Arabidopsis thaliana: one gene and its partners. The protein of the gene in region 2 interacts with the protein of the main gene of each other region in a pairwise test. Each region holds a gene or a part of one and is shown on either strand. Other genes may lie near its edges.

The links. The genes of interacting proteins can lie anywhere in the genome.
Region 1: the proteins of DSPTP1 (region 2) and OFP13 interact in binary tests that used the Arabidopsis thaliana proteins (3 or more experiments, as listed by UniProt).
Region 3: the proteins of DSPTP1 (region 2) and AT1G61150 interact in binary tests that used the Arabidopsis thaliana proteins (3 or more experiments, as listed by UniProt).

The regions. Positions count from the first base shown.
Region 1 is NC_003076.8:1,396,458-1,403,199, forward strand, and holds OFP13 (ovate family protein 13), read left to right. Parts: upstream 1-2,937; 5' UTR 2,938-3,227; coding exon 3,228-4,010; 3' UTR 4,011-4,327; downstream 4,328-6,742. Other genes in the region: AT5G04830 (Nuclear transport factor 2 (NTF2) family protein), read right to left, coding at 5,837-5,975, 6,065-6,174, 6,260-6,328, 6,431-6,470, 6,568-6,651. UniProt on the Arabidopsis thaliana protein: Transcriptional repressor that regulates multiple aspects of plant growth and development through the regulation of BEL1-LIKE (BLH) and KNOX TALE (KNAT) homeodomain transcription factors.
Region 2 is NC_003074.8:8,474,313-8,481,470, forward strand, and holds DSPTP1 (dual specificity protein phosphatase 1), read left to right. Parts: upstream 1-3,809; 5' UTR 3,810-3,967; coding exon 3,968-3,969; intron 3,970-4,204; coding exon 4,205-4,370; intron 4,371-4,470; coding exon 4,471-4,606; intron 4,607-4,709; coding exon 4,710-4,830; coding exon of another isoform or gene 4,831-4,861; exon of another isoform or gene 4,862-4,941; coding exon 4,942-5,087; coding exon of another isoform or gene 5,088-5,131; exon of another isoform or gene 5,132-5,180; coding exon of another isoform or gene 5,181-5,209; exon of another isoform or gene 5,210-5,223; coding exon 5,224-5,339; 3' UTR 5,340-5,529; downstream 5,530-7,158. Other genes in the region: AT3G23600 (alpha/beta-Hydrolases superfamily protein), read left to right, coding at 208-334, 493-583, 678-767, 1,028-1,128, 1,203-1,343; AT3G23605 (Ubiquitin-like superfamily protein), read left to right, coding at 2,363-2,821; AT3G23620 (Ribosomal RNA processing Brix domain protein), read left to right, coding at 5,835-5,903, 6,092-6,295, 6,602-6,847, 6,961-7,158. UniProt on the Arabidopsis thaliana protein: Has a dual specificity toward Ser/Thr and Tyr-containing proteins. Dephosphorylates MPK4 in vitro.
Region 3 is NC_003070.9:22,539,534-22,548,076, forward strand, and holds AT1G61150 (LisH and RanBPM domains containing protein), read left to right. Parts: upstream 1-2,963; 5' UTR 2,964-3,140; exon of another isoform or gene 3,141-3,329; 5' UTR 3,330-3,394; coding exon 3,395-3,448; intron 3,449-3,573; coding exon 3,574-3,733; exon of another isoform or gene 3,734-3,770; coding exon of another isoform or gene 3,771-3,834; coding exon 3,835-3,941; intron 3,942-4,040; coding exon 4,041-4,172; intron 4,173-4,303; coding exon 4,304-4,460; intron 4,461-4,700; coding exon 4,701-4,822; 3' UTR 4,823-5,485; coding exon of another isoform or gene 5,486-6,020; 3' UTR 6,021-6,128; downstream 6,129-8,543. Other genes in the region: EDA16 (SNF2 domain-containing protein / helicase domain-containing protein / zinc finger protein-like protein), read right to left, coding at 1-132, 244-507, 615-684, 931-1,077; AT1G61160 (retrotransposon gag), read right to left, coding at 5,486-6,020, 6,659-6,687.

The DNA.
Region 1 (6,742 bases), on a different chromosome or scaffold from region 2:
GAAAACATTTTAGTATGTCTCTATGATTAGTACCAAATGGTACAAAGTCCGACATACGTATCACTTGGTCGCACGAGCACAATATTCGTATCTCTTTTGTAGGTTTTATGTTACCAAAGTGCTGAGATTTGTTACTCCTCTATCATATATAGCAAACCATTAGTAAATATAATTATGACTTTTATCAAATTTATATTTTCTTTTAGTTTTTATGTAGGTTTTCTTCTTAAATCAACAATCATTTAAAACAAGATTGTTTGTAAGTGATTTTTTAAAAAATCACAGAACCAAATAAATCATAGGGGATATTCCAGTGAATCGGGATGATGTCGTCTAAAGTTTAGTGGGTTCGGAAAGCATCGATCTATTCTACGAACAAGTGAACCCTGCCCGAAAAGCTTTAGGTCAATTACTATGTCTTGAAAGAAAAATAAACATCAATACAATCTCATGTTTCGAAGCTTGAAAAAGGTAGCATTTTTCTCATAAAACCTTGGACACTTCCACGAAACAAAATGCATTTATCTTGAGTTCTCTAGCTACTAATGATAATGCAAATAAATACTGAAGCTAAACAAAATGTAAACAAATTCTAAGCACAATATTGACCATTTATCAAATCTACCAACTTAAAAGTTAGTAAATATCAACATCAAAAATATTTGAGGTAAATTTCTTAAAATACTTTATTTAGTAATGGATAAAAAACAAAAAAAGTTTAAATCACCGTGGAAGTTGTTGAGAAGTTACTTCTAAGATTTCTTACAACTGTGCTTGGCATTTATTATTTCTTACACAGTTAAAACTCAAGTAGAATAATTATACTAATGTCGGTCTTTAGCAAGGGGATAAAAGAGGCATGTCCAAGATGTTCATGTATTATAATTTCGGTTTTCGTTGAATTGTTGAAATTGTGAACAGTTTCATAAAACCAAGTAAGAGTATTCAAATAACTTTTTGTTAATCAACTGTATAAATAGGGAGCAAATTTAAAAGGATAATATGGCAAAAATGTCGTATTTGAACATAAAATTAAAAAGATGTAGGAACACTGTAGAGTATTCCAAATATTGCATGTTATAAACTTTATTTTTAGACATCTTCATTTGCAAACACGTTACAAGTTGAATAGTCTATCATGAACACTGTAGAGTATTCAAAGTACTGTAAATGAAAAAATGTAATTTATATATAGTCTAATGTATTTAAAAATTTAAACCATAGAGAGGAATATACTGTACTTTTGTAAATTTGGTCCCCTAACTAAAGATCTAGTAGTAGAAGATGGAAATCCACAGTTAATATATGCGTGATTCAACGGTGCCCTCTTTAATTCCTCACATGAGTTTTGCACACAATCTTTCTCTCTCTTTTTCTTATTCTATGTTCCCATATTTATCCCACAAACGTTGATCCAATATCTTACGCAAATTAAGGCAAAACAGGAAATTTTTGCAAAAGAGAAAGATATGGAGGTGTTGGGTAAATAAAGTTGAAAATGTACGAAAATAATGATGCATTTATTTCACAACAATGGGTTTCAACATCAGATTGCTTCTGTTTAAATCTTTTACTACTTTCAGTTTTATATCTCTGATAAACTCTATAATATTGACTGATTCCTAAAGGACACTGTCTCAGGATCTATCCCCTACATTCTTGTTCTACCTTGATGGATCATATATTTTACCTTAGTAAAGAAAATCGTCCAAGAAATTCATCATTAATTAAAAACATACATATAACATAGTCCTTCTTCGAATATAAGACTTCAATTCCTCAAAAAAAATTAAACGAAATAAATTATTTTTAAATATATATTCAAGAAACTGATGTTCATCGAGTTTAATTATTCAGTTGAATTACAATTCTTACTTTTAGAAATTTGTATTGCGACCAAGAAGAAACATTCTTTAAGCTCAAAGCTTCATATAATTTACACATACGTAATTTATAGATAACACGTTGACCGAGAGTATTAGAAGCTCACAGTGCTTATAGGAAAGTCAAAACTGACTGCATCAGTACGATTTTTACGTGTTCGTTTATGGATTATATAATACAAAATAGCTTATACATCAGTTTTAAAAAAATTAAACAAATTAATTAAGATGTAAAACACTATTAAAGTCGTAAAGAGAGAGTAATTAAAAATGAGAAGAAGATTTGACAAGACGAGCCAATAGACAAGAATGTAGTACCGTCAATCAACCTTTATAAAGTAGTAGTAGTATATAAAATTACTAAATGTTTATTGGGATTTGTTTTTCTGCAACATTTTCTTGTAAGCAATCGTTTTTAATGCTTTGTGTTCTGCACAGTGCTTTGTCATTGGCTCGGGACTAACATTTTTTCTAGTATTATTTTATTTTATTTTAATTAAAATATTTAATTTTTCTTGTCTTCAACCAAATTGAATGCTACTGCTGTGTCTTACTATACTTGTTCATGAGTATAATATTATCATCTTAAATTTAGATAACAAAGACAAAATAAAAATTCAAATTCCCATAGAGCCATTATATCGTGTTTGCATGAAACTTTTGTTAGTTAAAAAATACAAATTCAACCTCTCCAACAAGGCAATAACAACCCATGGAGCTAATAATATGTAAACTGCATGAGGATAAGTGTTTTCGTCACACAAGAAGATTGTCAATTTTTCAAAACAGCAAAATATTTGTAAAAAACATAATTCTTCCACTCATGTGTATATCAATAAAATCACAACGACAAAAACATTATTGTAAAATGTAGCAATAAACTATTTGTAAAAATAATATATCTCCATTATAAAAACATTTTTGTAAAATTGATCAATTATTAGATCGAATAGTGTAGAAAAAACCAATATTAAAAATTTGGATTGTAGCAAATCAAATATTGGAAAAAACTATTGAAATCCCGGTTGAACAGAAAACGAATCGAAAAAGCTAACCACAAAGCAAAACAAAAACAAACTATCAACTTCAATCATCGTAATTTTTATAGTTAAGACTTTAGACTAAATAAGTAAAAGCACTTCAAATAACTAACCAGAAAAAAATGGAAAATTAACAACAAATAGAAAAATATCCCAAAATTAAATAGACACATGACCTGACCCCACCAGCTCTCTCTTCTCTCCCCATATATCGCATTCCCTCCAACTCCTTCCTCTTCCATTAATTACTAAACCCAAACCCAACCAAAGATCTTCACAAAGAAAAAAACAATTGGTGGTATCAATGGGGAAGAAGAAGATGAAACTCTCTTCTCTGTTCAAAGGCGGAGCCGGAGGATTACTAGCGGTTCCTCTCTGTTACAATGCCAAAACTCTTTCGTTCCGAGTCGGCGACGACATGATCAAGACGGTGAACTCTGTTTTCTTCGACCACCACCACAACAACAACAATGGAGGAGATTTGTTGGAAGCGGAGACGCCTGAGTCATGGTTTACTAACTCGTCCGAGACAGCGAGTCACTCAACCGAGTCGGATCAAGACCTTGACGCTGAGTCCTTAGAGATGGTGGTTCGTGGCGTTGTTAGATCGGAGCGGTTATTCTTCGATCCAGGAGTTACGAGTTCGATTCTGGAAGAGATTGAAGAGAAATCGAAATCGGATTTGAAATCGAAGGAAACGGTTGCGGTGGGAGAAGATCGGAGTACGCCGATTGAGGAGATTAGTGTCGCGGTGGCGATGGAATCCGAGGATCCGTACGGTGATTTCCGGCGATCGATGGAGGAGATGGTGACGAGTCACGGTGAGTTGGCTAAAGATTGGGAGAGCTTGGAATCGATGCTCGCTTGGTATTTGAGGATGAATGGGAGGAAGAGTCACGGCGTTATCGTCAGTGCTTTTGTTGATCTTCTCTCTGGACTCTCTGATTCCGGCGCCGGAATAACGTCGGCTTCGGTATCGGATTCGGCTCGTTATTCAACCGCCGTTTCGTCTTTGCCGTCGTCGCCGGTTTATTCGTTATCTCAAGGTCAGACGGAGATTCAAGAGGAAGAGAGACGGAGCTGTTAAAAATAAAAAAAGGCTTAAGATTCGGTTTTAAATTTTTTAATCTCCGGTTTTGTTTAGATTAATTAACCCTTTTTGGATTTTGTAAAAAGTAATTAGTGGTTAGAGGAAAAAGAACCATTAAATATATATCAAAAATATTTTTAGAGCCATTATTGTTGATTTATGTGTATAACAGTGCCTTTTGTCATAACTCGAAAGTTACACTATTTTTCCCCCAAAATTCATGAAACTCAGCGAAGTTTATGCCAACAGATTCAGAGAAATTTTGTATAACAGCCCCATTTTAAAAGGAAATATACATAAGAATAAATTCTGTGATACTTCTTTTTATTTAAGCTCTTTATTTTTTACTTCTTTTTTAGGTTTTAAAGGACATAGAATTATAATTTCTCATTTTTTTTGCAGGCATATTATATAGCCTTTCTCATTAGATGTAGGCATGTAGCTCCTTTGGCATCCATATTAAAAATTTTTTTGTCACAAATATTGGACCTTACATTTTTTTTCCCCAAATAAAATTTGGTATTACGAATTTTCGATGGTTACACAAGGACTACTACACTAACATAAACTGTAAGACTCATTAAATATCATGCTCGGATAATTCATGTATTAACATTAATAACATAGAGATTTTATTTATTGATTTGACTCTTAAAAGCATCATCACGTAAGATATTTAGCAAAACCCTTTTTGTGATATCCATGCTGGAGTTAAAATCTTGAAAATAAGCGTAATAGAAACACCCGTAGTGTATGTATAAATGTAATTGTCATGAACTTATGAGATTCAAGTTTTAAAAATACAGAAAAGGATAGTGTATTTACGAGGGTGCATTAAAAGAGAATGTTGGTCTATAGTAACGTTTGAATTGAAATGTTACAAAAGAGATTTGTAATTTGTATTTTGTATTGTGAAGTGAATGGAGTAACATGAGATGAGCAATGGTGCTGTGGTCAGTGGTCACACACACACAGGCCCTGTGAATCCCAACATCATAGACCTACTCACTTCTCTCTTATCTCTTTTCATTTATTACTCTACATTTAATTTTGGGACCAACCTAGACGACGACGTTTATTTGTTTTTGTTTTGTTTGTTTTGTTTTGTTTCCTTTCTTTTCATAATTTTAGAGCTATGCATGTTCTCATTCCTCCTCAATTTCACAAAATTGATTTTTCTATAGGAAACACATATAACATAGGGCTGGTCCTCAAATATATACGAGATAGTATACAATTTGGAGTTTTTCAAGAGTACAGAAAAACTATAGCCAAATATTTGTAACAAATAAAAACACAGAACTGTGTCTGTCACAAACATAGCGTCTAACAGTTACTTTTACACAGCTTGTTTTCTTTGTTTCTACGGTACTTACAAAAACCAGAGTCATTTTTCGTCTTCTACAAGTATATAACAGGGGCCCAAACACAGTACATGCACAAAATCTAATATCTAAATACATTACGTCAAGCACGAGACCAAAAGTAAATGGATACTTTAGATTTGACAGTGAAGGCCCATTTGAGGGAGGTTCTTCGATCCGGCCCCACGTCGGTTTATTTTGATTTAGGATAATTCAAACCCAAAAGCTAACCAAAATCAGTATGGTTCAAGTTTGTTCAACTACAAGAATTTTCCATTCAAATTCAGTTATTGACTGTATCGTACCAGACTAAAAACCAACAGACGATTAACATACTGTATTACATATTTTTAAACTAAATTCGAAACCAAATCGATTAAAGGAGTTTCTTAAATTCAAGTAGTGTTTTGAAGAAACTGAACACTATAACATGATGTGTGTTTTGTATTTTCCATTTGTTCATTGGGAGTCAGGATCTTTACCAAAACCCATCATGGCATGAGTCGCTAGCATCAAGCCTCTTCGACCCATCTCCATTACCCGTCCGACTAATGGAAAGCTAACCGTGTCTCTGTTCCTCAGAGGTTTCTTGTCCCACCTTATACACACCATTCACCAACAAGTTAAGGCAATGAACTAATACAAAAAGTCAGCGTTTATGAGAAAGGTTAGCTGCAGGGTTATTACCAGTCTTCATGTCGAACGATCTTCCCGTCCTCGACATAGAGCTTAATGAGAGAGATCATATCTATGTTCCTTCCCATGATCTTGTAGTGTTGTTTGTTGTCAATTAGTATCTGTTTTTCCCACAAGTTGTTTATGTTATATTTAGATACTAAAAAGGAACCACGAGACCATGTTATAGTAAACGAGGATTCTAACCTCTTTCTTCCCCGGCGAGGTTTCACTTTCTTGAATATGATATTCAACTATTTTCGACTCACCAAACACCTATAGTAAAATAATTATGATGTGAGGTTGAGGGAGATAGTTCCATCATCATAGTAGTTAACAAAGAAGTGACTAGTGAGGGAACGAGAGTTTGACAAAAACCTTAGGGAGTGAATAAAATGCTGATTTGATCTGCTTCACTCTGAAAAAGCCAAGGGTCAAAAATAGAAATTTCAAAGTGAGTAAATGATCTCTGCAATAGTAGAAAGAAAGAATATTTAGTTGGAAGATTGACATACCCCTGAGCATGCGTCAAAGGGTCTTCAAATGAAGCATTTGGTGCATACATGTCAAAATCGTTGGCTTTTGCACTAGACCCGTACCTAATTCAAAATCAAAACTCGCATTAGATATTTAGTAACTTGATGCTTTTGTAATTCAACAAAAAGCCATGAAAAGACTTATCACAATCAC
Region 2 (7,158 bases):
ATAGTTTTGTTGGTTTTGGATTATGTACAAGATGAAGCATACCTATCATGTGTCTTTAAGTTGACTTGTCTTTTCTGAACTCATTTGATAAGATCTAAATGTTTAATTTGAATCATTGCTTTGATTGCATTGCATTATCTCAAGTTTATCTTGTACAACTATGGAGGAATGTTTATGGAGTGTTAAGTCTTAATTTTATGTCTTAAGGGCGCTTGCGGACAAGGTTGCAGCTTCTGGATTCTATGTTGTGGTTCCTGATTACTTTGGTGGAGATCCTTATAATCCCTCTAACCAGGACAGACCCATCCCTGTCTGGATCAAAGACCATGGCTGTGTTCGTTCCTCCTCCTCTCCTCCTTATAATAACTGTCCTATACATTCTCAACTTCTATTTGAAGTTTTGTTAACAAGTTTGACTCAATGTATGTGTTATTGTTCTGTTATTTTGATAGATTCCATCTGAATCAGTTCATATCCTCTTTTGTTTTTCAGGATAAGGGCTTTGAAAACACGAAACCAGTACTTGAAACCATAAAGAACAAAGGCATAACTGCCATTGGAGCCGCAGGGATGTGTTGGGGTGGTGAGTTTTTGTTAGAAATCTATGCCTAAGAGATGTGACGCTCTCTTTTTGTCTAATGGATAGTACTTTTCTCTCTTGTGTTATTCATCTTCAGCAAAAGTAGTGGTGGAACTGTCTAAAGAAGAGCTTATTCAAGCAGCTGTGTTGCTTCATCCTTCTTTTGTCAATGTTGATGATATCAAAGGTTAGTGACTTTGCTACTTCCATCTTGATTCCTCACATAGAACCAAGGAACATTAGTTGTCATGCCTTGCCTAATGCGTTGTAACATTTAGAGTCACCTATAGGATTGCGTAACTGATCTCGCCATGATTAGATACTATCATTATTACTGTAAAGAATACTAATTCACATTTGCAAACATAAAAAACACTGTGATTGGTCCGGTTTCTTTACTTTCACCGGTCTTTGATGATCCTTATCAATTTCACGGGTTTATTGCAGGTGGGAAGGCTCCAATTGCTATATTAGGAGCTGAAATTGATCAAATGTCCCCACCAGCACTCTTGAAGCAATTTGAGGAGATTCTATCTTCCAAACCCGAGGTAAGCTGCTTTATCACCGCAACTCAACAGTGTAATTTAATCACCTTTATCTAACTTTAAAACGGATCCTGTAGGTGAATAGTTACGTGAAGATACACCCGAAAGTGTCACACGGATGGACAGTTAGATACAACATCGATGAACCAGAGGCGGTTAAAGCAGCAGAAGAAGCTCACAAGGAGATGCTTGATTGGTTTGTGACCTACATCAAATGATTTGAGAAAGAAAGAAAGGTATTGTCTATTACTTCATATATGCAAAGAATAAAAATTAAAGAGAGACAAAGCAAAACTCTTGGTTGGTGTTTCAATTTCTACTTTCTATAGTCTTTTGAAGCATTCTCTGAGATTCTGTGATACCTTTTGTTAATCATTGTTTTATGATTTTTATATGTTGACGATACGTTACCCTTCTCATCATCTTCTTGTGGTAAGCAAAAAAAGTTACCAAAACAAACTTTGATTGAAATCAATGTCTTCTTCGACTAAAGAAGTAAAAAAGATATTGTACATATATACAGAAATAATCAATTCTTCTTCTTCTTGATGAATTTGATAGTCAAAACGCAAAATTATTGATTGTTGAGACTTGAGACCTTGAGTAATTTTTTTTTTTTTGGGTCAAATGAGAGTAATTTATAAGAGTCAAAATCATTACATGAAAATGATTTAAGAGAGTTTGTCCACACACAAAAACCTAAAAAAAAGAAAACTAGTAATTGACAAAATTATACGATAAATTTATTGTATAAGAAATTGATCCATATATTATTTATATTGTTGCTTAAAAATCGTGCAAAAATGTGGACAGAAAAAAAAAACTTGCCAAAACAAGAAGATATTGCTCAAGAAAGTCACTAGGTTCTTTAGAGAAATCAAATAAAATCTCAATTCATAATCAATGTAGATTTCTCATAATTAAATTTGTATTACAAACTTACAATTATCAAAAACAAAATCTGTAATTACACAAAAAAAAAAAAGGAAAATAGAAACAAAAAAAAATCCGCAGAATATCTCCAAAAATCAATTCTACTAACACAAAAACAATAATACTAATAAATCTATTTTTCTATTTTCAAGGAAAAGGAAACAAACCTTTATAGCTCCTCTCTATCGTCTCGTCTCTATAAATAAACGAGAAGCTCACAAATTCCACAAAAATCCACTCTAACTATGAAACAATTAGGGTTTTGAAATTTACCTAAATCTCTCCGTAATCATCGATCAAAACGATGCTCGAGTGTCAATCAATGATGGAGAAATTATCACCGTTCGTAGACGTCGCCTCTCTGGAAATCGAGTCTCTGCGAAGAATCAAACGCCCGAAACGCTTCTCTGAAGAAGAATCAGAAGAAACCGAGAATACGACGAATTCATCAAACGCGGTATTCGGATTCCCTAACTTACCAGAAGAACCGAATCGCGATATGGATCAAAGCGTTTTGTGCAGAATCTGCGTTCGATTACCAGATGGGAGAAGAATACAGAGAAGTTTCTTAAAGAGTGAATCTGTTCAGCTTCTTTGGTCGTTTTGTTATTCGCAGATTGGTGATGAATCTTCTGAGAGAAAGCGGCGTTTTAAATTGATTCAAGGGTTTCCTGGGGATTATAAGAATCTTTATTTTGGATCTAATACTACTTTTGAACAATCTGGGCTTGCTAATTCCTTGGTTTCTGTTACTTGGCTCTGAAGAATCTTCTTTCGATCTGTAATTAGAAAAATAATTTCTTTCTTCTACCAAGTTTATGTTTACTCAATTTCTCGAATTTGTACTTGGAAATTGCAAATTTCATTTGGTTTTCTTGAATCGTTGTTAGATATTTCCGATCAAATCGTTTTTAGATAACACTGTTTCAAAGTCAATGTCGTCATCATCATACAAGAAGAACGTATAGTTTTTGGTTTATCTTTTTGTTGCTTCTTAAGTCACTCTTTCTCGCATAGTTTTTGAGGTGACGAAGTTACGTATACGGTGACGTAGCAAACCAAGCCCATAAGCCCAAATTCTAAACAAGCCTAAGACAAGTGAGCAAGGAGTGGGTAAACCAAACCATACCAAAATGAAACCGACAAACTCGTCGATATGTGCCAGGACCGGGCTTAGAGGGTGTGCTGAGGGTACATTTGTACATTGTCCATTACTTTTTAGTCAGATTTCTTAAAGCAATTAGGGTCCTATTTCTAAACAAGCCTAAGACAGCATCAAGTGAGCAAGGAAGTACTTCATGTTCATGCACAATTTCTAGGAATGGGAAAGACCGTACCAAAATGGAAACCGAGAAACTCGTCGAGACCGGCTTTGATTAGATAGTCTATCGAAGTAAAATATCGAACTTCGATGGACTATATTGAAGTAGATTTGTGCTCTACTGCCCTCGAAAAAAACATTAAAGTAGATTACTACTACGTCATAATAACAAACAGTCTTTAACAACAACATCATCATCACTCGATACATCTCTGCCTCTGTACAGTTTTGCTGACATATTCACAACACCGTTGCCTCAGTTTCAGCCAAGTACACTACTTCTTACTAATCCAGGGGGCCTAATAGCAGGAAACCAAGCCTACAAAGCACAAATCCCAAACACAAATTTTTGAGTATAATATAAGGACTGAGCTAATAAGTTAAAACATTTCTGATTTTTCTGATAGAAAGGAAATTTTACTATTTGGCCCTCTTTGAACACATCCTTCCCTCTCCTCCTCCTCCTTCCCCCAAAAAACCTGGAGAACCATGCAGTTGCAATTTCCTCTTTAACCCATTTCAAAGATTCGTTTTTTTTTTTTTGTAAATCTCTTTCTCCTTTGGCGAATTCGTATTCCTTCTTTTCCAATGTAAGTTCTTCTTCCTTGATAATCGAATTCTTCTTTTGATCTTAAACCAATCACTACTCCGTCGTTGTAATCGTAATTCTCGATTCACCGTTGTTCGGTTATAAGATCATTCATCAGAATCGGATTCCATTATTTCGGTGACCTGGATTTTGATTTTGATTTTGATTCTTGCTGCTATGATCACGATCTTGATATGTAAACTCTCTTCTTCTTTTTTCTGATTCGATGAAATCAGGAGTTCTAGAGACAGAGGATCACCTTCTTCTTCTTCGTCATCTTCTTCGTTACCAGGAATAGAAAAGTATAATGAAAAGGTGAAGAATCAGATACAAGCTCTTGTTCGTGTTATTAAAGTTGCTCGTACCTATAGAGACGACAATGTCCCTTCCCTTATTGAACAGGTTACTACTACTACTAATACTCATAGGTTTTTTCTACCAACCAAATGACCAATGATTCATTATCAAAGATCAAACCTTTTGTTGAATTTGACTTTTTCAGGGTCTTTATCTTGGATCTGTTGCAGCAGCTAGTAATAAGAATGTTTTGAAATCTTACAATGTTACACATATTTTGACTGTTGCTAGTTCGTTGAGACCAGCTCATCCTGATGACTTTGTTTACAAGGTTGTTCGAGGTATAAACTTATTAAAGGTTTCACTTTGTTATCTAGTTGAAGAGAGAATATGTTTTTGATTTTGGGATGGAATTGCTTGTTTGATTGTTTTTCTATGTGATAGTCGTGGATAAGGAAGATACAAATCTAGAAATGTACTTCGATGAGTGTGTTGATTTCATTGATGAAGCCAAGAGACAAGGCGGTAGTGTTCTTGTTCATTGCTTTGTTGGCAAATCACGGAGGTCAGTTTTGTTTGCTTCCTTCAATATCTAGCGGTTTTCGCCTTGTTTGCTGGATAGTATTCAAAACTAAGTACATATTTAGCCTGGATGGTTTGTCCCTTTTACTTGCAGTGTCACTATAGTTGTTGCTTACCTCATGAAGAAACACGGTATGACTTTAGCTCAAGCATTGCAACATGTTAAAAGCAAAAGACCCGTGGCAAGTCCTAATGCTGGTTTCATCAGACAATTACAAGACCTCGAGAAGTCTATGCAAGGTATGCCTTACTATAATATCTTGAGGTCTAGACTATTAGGTTGAGATCTCTGTGGTGAATCTAAGTTGGAGATACTTTGTCTGTCTGATTCAGTAGTGAGTGACCAGTTTTTTTCCTTTTGAGGATGAAAAGCAAGTGGTTGTGGAGGAGAAGACAGTTCCATGTAAATATCTCTTACATGCATCTTCCTTCTTCTCTATAAAACAGGGAAGCAAGTTACGATTGCACAATGTCAGGCGTGAAGATCATTGATCGTACCATTGGGAGAAACTTGTAAATCTCACACGAAGCATCAATCAAAATGTTTTGTTGTTTCTTCTCCTTAACAACTCGAATAATAACATGGAAACGAATTTGGAATATGTTCATGTTCTCTATTCGTTTTGTATAGTTTCATCATCATGGATATAAAAGTGAACATAAATAAAAATTTGTAAATTTTTTGTACCGCAATGAAATGTCTTTTTTGTGTGTAAAAGTTCATGGGCTGTCATTGTTTAATTTGAGCCCGTATAGTTTAAACAGTTCATGGACCTTGTGAAACATTGGGTTTTATAGTCAATAAAAAACTGTGGGGTGATTTAGGACAGACTTATAAGGTTAGGGGTCATATTAGAATTCTCTTAAAGTTGCTTCCAATTGTGAGGAGGCACTAAAACCCTAGACTCCATATCAATCAATCGAAAAACCTTTCTCTCTTCTTTCGGAGCCGTCGCTTGTGAAACTTTCCGGCGATTTAACAGAGTCATGATGGAAATACGAACTCCGAAGACTGGCAAAGCCAAGCGTGTTCTCGAAAGCCGAGCTCCTAAGTTGGTAAAGTTCTCTTCTTTTTCTCCTTCGTCCTTCTTAAAACCGAGAAGTGAATCATGTTGAGAGCTGTCTTCAATGTTGTTTTGACATCTATGAGACTCATGGGTTTTCTATTTGTCGATAAATTTATCAAAGAATCGATTGAAAGTTGCAAACTTTGTATCTGAATTGGTTGTTTTTGGAATTTGTAGGTTGAAACTGGGAAGAAGACGTTGATACTTCATGGAACAAAGACGAGTGCTACACTTAGCTCTGTAATGACGGAACTCTACCGTTTGAAGAAGGGAGGTGCCATCAGATATTCAAGGAGGAATGAGAATATTAGGCCTTTCGAGAGTGGAGGTGAAACTTCATTAGAGTTCTTCTCTCAGAAAACAGATTGTAGCATTTTTGTGGTAAGTTCATAAGCTTTGGCAGCTGTTGCATCTTGGTTTTATGGTGTTGCAACTTTGATTCTCCTCTTAACTTAGCTATGAACTGCTAGATAGAACAAAATGTTATTAAGATGATCTATCCTGTGATCTAGATTCATTCTAAGGCATCTCTGCTTCTGTCTTGTTAGTCTATGTGTATTTATTTATGGTGGAAATTGGTATGATTGGCTGATGTTATCACAGGCCTTAAGAAGTCATTTGGAAAGGTGTATTGGCAAATTAACTTTGATGCGAGTTCTAACATTGGTGATTGTTTTTATATTGCAGTATGGTTCTCACACGAAGAAACGACCTGACAATCTTGTACTTGGGAGAATGTATGATCACCAAGTCTATGATCTTATAGAAGTTGGGATTGAGAACTTTAAATCCTTGCGGGCGTTTTCGTATGACAAGAAATTCGCACCTCATGAAGGAACAAAGCCTTTCATTTGCTTTATTGGTGAAGGTTTTGAGAATGTATCAGAGCTTAAGCATCTCAAAGAAGTCCTCACTGATCTTTTTCGTGGCGAGGTGAAGTGTTTGATTCTTATGACCTACTTTTGCAGCTAATTCCATAACCAGTTTCAATTTTATTCTGATTCTATATGGATTTGGCTTATAACAGAATTTGTATATGTCTGCAGGTTGTGGATAATCTAAATCTTACTGGTTTAGACCGCGCTTACGTATGTTCAGCTATATCCCCAACAAAGGTTTTCCTTACTCATTGCGCATTGAAGCTTAAAAAGTCAGGATCCATTGTTCCGAGAATGGAGCTTGTTGAAGTCGGTCCATCCATGGACTTGGTTATCAGGCGTAATCGTCTTCCTAACGATAGCTTA
Region 3 (8,543 bases), on a different chromosome or scaffold from region 2:
AGACATAGTTATCCGCACTGTCACTGAGGGAATTGGAATTATTAAAAAAAACAGACATGGCAGACGAATTATGATTGGCTCCCAACCCCACTCCGTATCCAGTCACGTTGTCAAAATATGGAGTCAACATAGCTGCAATTTGATGTAACAAAAAATGAGGAATATGGAAATTAGCAACAGATAGATTAGTGTCAAACTTTTAAAAAAAAAAATAACCTGACATTTAGTAGATAAGGTGCATACATTTGGAATCGATTATCTTATCATCCTGCTTGGAAACAGTGTCAACGTCACAATTCACAGGATTGAAGGCCATCATATTGCCATCAGGATCAGAGAAACTAGACGATATACTACAACTAGTCATCTCAGATTGAGATACTCCACATGTTTCCACAGGCTGCTCACCCTGACTTAACGAAAACCAATCTTTAAGACTTGCAGAGCAAGTATGAGCAGGTGAAGGACTCAGCCCGGCTTCCATTTTCACATGTTCATCAAATGAACCTGGCACAACAAAAAAAATCCAAGCGATGTTAATACGATGTACCTCAAACAGCTCAATAAATACTAAATGACTATGTAACAAGGCACCCTTTCCAACAACTACTAACCATTTAGCAACTGTGAATCCTTGAGCTCGTCAGCAGATGAACCAACTGGTGATAAGTTTTCTTGGCTACCCTAAAAGTAGTCACTCTCAATGTTAGTTTCTTCTCTATCGAAAAAAATAGTCAATTAGAGATTAGTGTAGCTACAGAATTGTGAAATCACACATACATAAACTTTATAACAAAATACAAATCCAAACATCTTTGTAGCAGCATTCAAATAATGCAATGAAATTCAGCTAAATCAAAACGATGAAATTGAAGTTAGAGAAGCGTGTAATCAAAATTCTCAAGCTACCACAAAAGCCGAGAAAACTACCTCAGCAGAATCAGGCTTCTCATCTAGAATCCGATAAAGCGTTTCGATGTCAATAGTCTCGTCATCATCTTCAAACTCAAAACCACCATCACAATCATCAACCGGAAATTCACCTCCCAGACCAAACATTGAACCTTCCTCACCCATCAAAAATCACAAAAAAAAAAAAAAAAAACTAACCCGAGAAAGAACGAGAAGAGGAACAAACCCTAAATCAGAAAACCCAAAAGTCACGGAATTTCAGCTCCCGGGAAACCCAAATCGAAATTCAGAAGTAGACGCGTAGATCCAGAGATTGTAGAATTTTCAGGTACGACGAAGAAGAAGGCTTGAGAATTGGGTTTTGAAGGAATTTTCGAGGAAAGGTAGAGAGCAGTTGGGATAGAGAAAATAAAAATCGCGACTTTTTGTAGCGACGGTGGCTTCTTTTTATTGCCTTGTTCTCTCTTTTGGCTTTCTCCGAATTGGAAAAAGTAAACACCACAAGGCTATGGGACTTCCGGCTTTAAATAAGGAACGGTCGAACATTTGTTTTTCTTTTTCTTTCATTTTTTTCCATTTTTTCATTATTTAATAATGCATGATTATATATAATTATATTTTATGCGCCGTCATCTTTATTGTTAAAGCAAAATCACAATTTAAACAAAAGGAAACAACTTTAATTAGTAGTAGGAAACTGAAGTGTTTAAGTAATGGAGATTTTTTTGAAGTGTTTGCTAATCATAATTTATTGTAAAAATTATTTTTAATTGTGTGAAAATTAGATTTTCTACACTAACAAAAAAATTTCATATGTTAAAGAAAACAAATATGAAACTAAATCACAAAGATCAATTGGAATTAGACATGTGGATCGACTCATTAGAAAAATAATCATCTCAATCAATAAGAAGAGATAAAACATATATTTGACTAAATGATCTTACCAATCTTGTGGTCATAAAATTCTACAAAGCACTATATTGCTAATTTCTACAAAGCACATTTGTAATCTTCTGAATCATTTGTTAGCCCTAAAAGAAGACTAGTATTATACGAGATCACCATTTTTATGATTGATCAAATATCTTGTAGAGCGCAAAACTTTGTAGGTAGTTTGATGAGAAAGAGCTTGCTTATTATGTGATCAACAATTCCGTTCTTGCCATGTCTCAAAGTAGTTGCTTGCCATATTAATTGATATGAAGAGCCTTTGATTTTGCAGAGATAGGAATTGCCAAAAGAAACCATATGAGGATTGACTCGAGAAGTTTTAGTGTAACTTCTTCACTAAGTCCTTCCAAACCAGTTGGGAAAAATAATATTAAAGAATAAGTGGTCCATTGATTCTTAGTCGGTCAACTAGCTAGAAGACCTCAAATTCTGCAATCGATCCTTTGTCTTATTGTGGTTCCACACAAACAACCATGTGCAAAGAACAAAACATGTTTTGGGACTTTAGTTTGAAGATGCAATTAAACATATTGTTAGATTGTTGACCAAGAAAAAACATATTGTTGAGATTGAAAGATATATTTTGCATCGGACTGCAAAATGTTTATGTCACATATTTGTTACCTAATAGTTGATTTTAATAGAGTATAATAGAGTATCAGTTATTGGTTTTAAATTGTGTATCAAATTCCAAATAATATAGAGATTTTTAACATCAGTCTTATTTAATTATGATTTTAACCAAGTGTCGTTAGCTCAATTGGTAAAGACCTTATGCAAAGCTTAGAGGTCGCCGGTTCGAGTGACGCTTGGGACGAAACTAATATTTTATGCTGTGGTTTCAGGCCTGGGGGATTACGGACTTTGACCCACAACCTCCAAGATTTAAAAAAAAAAATAAAAAAAAATTATGATTTTAAATCGAAATTTTGTTCTTCAAAGGTAAAATAGTTTAAAAATCTTTGGGTATTAAAATCATTTGGAAATGAGTTACATAATACTATCCGGTATATAAAGAACCAAATCCAAAAACAAACCGGTTCCCTTAATAATTTAAACCGGATTATTCATCGACGGTTCGTCAACATCCTAATAATTTAAACCCGATCTCTTCTTCTCTATCGAAAACCTCCAACTTTTTTTTGTTTTATCAGATTGTAAATTTAGGGAAGAGACTTTCGCAAGCAATCTAGAAGCAAATCGATCGCCAAATCTCCGGATTATTTGCAAGAATCGTTCCCAGATAATCTTCCCCAGATTCTCCACTTCTCCAGGTACATCGTTATATTCAATTTTTGAGGAAAATAGTCGCACACTCTCTCTTTCTTAGAACTACCACTCCTGTGCTGTTTTGAGATTAAAGCTTGAATTTTGACTAAAGCCCTAAATTACTTTGTATCACTATCTGATCACAAAGTCAATTTCTTTTGGAAATAGCTCTGATCGGAGTGTTGCTCGAACAGGTATTAATTTCGTATTGAGTGGATTAGATTAGATTTCAAGATATGAGAGCCTCACTGGCGTTCTAATGTCACTGTTTCGTATTTTTATCAATCAGCTTGAAGAAGACGACGAAGATATGGTAATTTTGACTCCTCTTATGAGTCTGTTCTTTGTGTTATTTGATACAACTTGATGATGGGTTTTTGGAAAACTTTAATCTTTATGCACGTTGTGTGACCTAGTTTTAATCGTGGCTTGTCGCAGGCTACTTCGAAGAAAATGATCACACGTGAAGAATGGGAGAAGAAACTAAATGCTGTGAAGCTTAGGAAAGAAGATATGAATACTTTGGTGATGAATTTTCTTGTGACTGAAGGATATGTTGAAGCTGCTGAGAAATTCCAAAGGGAGTCTGGAACCAAACGTATCCTTTTTCTGATTCTGGTTTTGAGTTTTTGTTTATGGAATTGGTGTGTTTGATGTTTAGCTTATCTACTCCTTTTGAACTTCCTTATCGAGAAACAGCAGAGATAGATCTTGCGACCATTACTGATCGAATGGCTGTTAAAAAGGCTGTTCAAAACGGAAATGTCGAGGATGCGATTGAAAAAGTTAATGATTTGAATCCTGAGGTACAATGCTTCTTCATATCTTGTGTGGAGAGTAGTCATTCACTTTTCTGATGTAATAAAGAAGCAAAATCTGATTCTTCTTTGAACCCATGCTTGCAGATACTAGACACGAATCCGGAGCTCTTTTTTCATCTTCAGCAGCAAAGGTTGATAGAATTAATTCGACAAGGGAAGACAGAAGAGGCCTTAGAGTTTGCTCAGGAGGAACTTGCACCACGTGGCGAAGAAAACGTAAGTCTTTGTATTTCACTTTGATTTCTGTCGTTAAAGATGGTGTTTTCCATGTGTATTGCTCATTGACTGTGTGTAATATCTGTTGTTGCTGAAACTTCATTCATACAGTCTGTTATATCTCTCTGCAGCAAGCGTTTCTGGAAGAATTGGAAAAAACTGTAGCCCTACTTGTTTTTGACGATGCCTCTACCTGCCCGGTTAAAGAGCTTCTTGATCTTTCCCACCGTCTTAAGACAGCAAGTGAAGTAAATGCAGCGATTCTTACAAGCCAGAGCCACGAAAAAGGTAGCTTTTGAATTTTGATGTTATACTGGTTGTCTTTTAGTAGCCACAAAATACCATTATAATCTCGAGCATCATTCATTATCAATCTTAAGATTCAAAGTATATGCAACTCTTCTCTACATAACAAGTAAAATTTTTCATTCATTACTTCACCCACAACATGTATCATCCAAGTTCTTCTTGAAACTTTCCATTTTCCTCCATGGTTAATGTAGCAACTCAATGTTTGTGAACAAACAGATCCTAAACTTCCAAGCTTGTTGAAGATGTTGATTTGGGCTCAAACTCAACTGGACGAGAAAGCAGTGTATCCGCACATTAATGATTTGTCTACCGGTAAGCTCGAAGACCCGTCAGAATGATTCCGTACTTCTTTCAGCCATTGGAAATCAGTAGCAAAAAGGAACAATGAATGGTGCTCTCTTCTCTTCCCGTCAATCTCAATAACTTACAATTCATATGCTTTCTGCTTTTCCTTTTCTTCTGCATCGGGATTTGTTGGACCCGCAATCGTTAGGATATGGGGAGGGGAACATAAGCTTTTGTAGGCAATGAATTACTCTAGTCAAATGTTCTTATTATCAACATATTTGATGACTCATTGCATACGTGCATTTGATTTGAATGAAGTTATCGACTTTGTTTGGATCTTTGTGTTTGTTTTGAGGAATATTTTTGTTCCAAAAGGTTCGAATTGTAAACAAGAGAGATGGCTTATTCATCCCATGTATAGTTACATGAATCAATGAATCAACTTGGCACGGTTCCTACTTACCTAGAAAGCAACATGACCTATTGAATTGAGTGCTGTTACCGTCGAAATGGAGAATCTCTGCGAACCGTACTGAAACATCATTTGATTTTTCTTCTTCTTCGCAAAATATTATTTTGGTACTGACACAGCTTTGAATCTTGCATGACATGGTACGAAGTAAATAAAGGGAAGTAGTAATAGCAACTTTTTGATATATAAAATAGGAAACATAATCCACAAGACTCAAGACCTTATGTTGACTCTAGCCATCTCAATCTTGCATGATATGGTCTTCCGGATCATAGGATTTGGAGGGTTTGCTCTCCACCTCATCTTCGGATGCGGGTCGGCCCAAATTGCTTTGTCCGCAGTCAACATCTGCAAACTCCTCAGACACGAGCGGCACCTTTTCCTTGATGCTTCTAAGTTTGGCCTCTACCTTCTCAGCTTCATCAACTACATCTGACACATAATTAAGGATCCATCCGCAGTTCGCTGCACATACCCCTTCCTGCAACTCCTCGCGTAGCCCTTCCTGGAACAGACACGCCAGCTGCTCTTCCTCCAACTCTCTTCCGAGGTTCTTGACCTTCTTAAGGAACTCGTTATAATACTCACGCACTGTCTCTGTTCCTTGCTTCACCTCAAAGGCTTCCCAGCTCAAGGCAATGTTGACGTCAACCAGCTTAGACTCATCGAAGGCTCCGCGCTCAGAAGCTTCTCGGGGTGGCTGATCCTCCTCCCCAACTACCCCTGTGAGCTCAAAGTTTTTTGGTTCACCAGATGTCTTGATCGACCTGGTCTGCCTGCGGGTCAATAATTCATCGAGTTTTATACATTTAATAATTTGTTACAAAATATGAAAACAAGGATAGTTTTCAGTTAGAAAAACAATTTATTATCTTAGAAAATCATGACTATGCTAAATCTAATATATTTAAATAAAAAACTTTACATCAAAATTCTAACAAATTATCAAATATTATGGATTTGAGGGAGTATAAATTATCATTATAATTCAACAAAATTAAAACTGAATTTTGCGAAAACATAATTTATATGAAACTCGAGTATAAAAATGATGACTCGAAATGGATCAAATAGAATAAAGCAATCGTAATGTCGAATAGTGGAAAAGAGATTTATATCTTATTTTATTTTGTCTGAAAAAGATCTATCTTCACCTATTTTTATTGAACTTTAAATATTTTAAGCAAAAATAAAATTGATTCAATTTGATATAAAATGAGCAAAGACCTTTTGATCATGATCCTTTACAAGATTTTCATTTCATGCTTTATCATTACAGAAAAAAAAAATCTAACAAACTAATCTGAAAGCTAAAAGATTGAAAATAATATAGTTTCTTAATATATTTTATCAAAATCATTAATAGATATTGTGAAATAGATAATAGAAAATTGAGAATATCTAAGGAACTTACAAATTGATATTACTTCTTCCATTAGTCATTGTGGAGAATGAAGAAATAAAAAAAATGGGAAATGAAGCTCTTAAAGTGAGTCTAACCAAATGATGTACTTTTATTAACTCCCAAAATGGGATATCATTGATTTATGTTCTATAAATAAAAAATTAACCTGATTCATTTTTCTTATATAATAATTGATTAAGACATACGCTGGCAAAATTTTTTTTTTTTATGTCCGCTCGCAAATCAAAAAAATATGGAAATACAATAAATTTTAATTATAATAAATTAGCTTTTATTTTCTTTTCATAATTTCTAATAAATATCTCATATACCCAATTTACAGTATCGTATTTTGTATTAAATAAGTTTGAGTTAAAATTGAATCATTATGAAAATCTAATTAGAATATATATATATATATATATATATATATATATATATGTGTGTGTGTGTGTATGTATAGTACTGGTACATAATATTAATGTTTTGTAACAATTTCGGTTTCTAGTTTCTAAAATATGGTAAATTATCAAAATCGATTAATTATGATATTTTCACAATTATATTTTTCTAATATTGTAAATTTGTTCCCAAATTTTTTTTTTTTTAAAGTCCCAAAGATAGAAAGTTATTATTATAATTCCAAATTTAAAATAAATTTTAAATTTAATATGGAGATTGACTCTTGTAGTCTTTTGACTTGTTCATTAATATGTTCCCGAAATAGTTTTATATGGTATACAAAATTAAATAATTGTATAAAAGGTAAATCTAAATTTAAGTTACGTCAGATTTGATCTTTTATGTGATAGAGATGTGTTCCAAATAGTTCTTTTAATTGATTTGAACACTTTCTTTGGTACCAAAACAAGAAACATCATAGGGTTTGCGTACTCATTGGTATTAATGAAACTGACCCACACACATGTTTTTGGATCATCACTAATTTAACTGTCTCATAAGCTTTGTCACACACACACACACAGAGACTTATATAGTGATGCATTCATTGATATCATTCGGCATCATACCTGTTCTTTCATTCCATAAAGATAAAAAAAGGTAAAAGAGAAATGTGATTTTGTATTTGAGATTGATTTGTATGTAAGTATTTATGAGTGAGAGAAAATAGTGGATTCTATGCGTGTGGAGATAGTAGAAGAGGTCTCTACTCTACTATGTGTGCTTGCATTTCCTAGGAACACAAAATGGCCCACTGGCTCTGTCCCTTTGTTTCATAGAGACTAGAGAGTGTCCTCTTCTTTTTCACGTTATTGAGAATGATATAGTTTCATAGAGACTGAAGATTCCCTTTTGTTTCTCAACTCTTCGAGTTTTGATACTAAGCAAGCTTAACTGAATAAGGTGATTTGGATTTGATAATATCGGCTACGGTCACAAACTCCGAATAAATCTTGATCGACTTGCTTGAGAGAGGATTGATTCTTGGAATGGCAAATCTCACACAAATATATGAACTTGAAAATGGGTTTTGTTTGGCCAAAAAAAAAGGAAAAAAAGAAAATGGGTTTTGTTGGATGTGAGATAATTATCCCATTGTCTTGAATCTTGATTATCAATTGGAAATGGAAATGATTTTGTTTTTGGTTAGGAATTAATAGTCATTTGGGGGTTAGAAATTAATTGGCATGTGACATATACACAAAGAACCTACCATGTGAACATAACTAGAATCATTCAAACATGGGAGGACCCATACAATGTAAATCTTCAAGTCCTATCTTTTAATTTAAGAGGTTTATATCAACTTCATTTTTGTGTGACTTTGTGCTAACATCAAATTCTGTTTTGGGGAACATAACACAGATAAGGGTTTAGATATGTTCTTGTCTTCTCAATAAAACTGTTTGGATATCAATTGCTTTGATTGGAA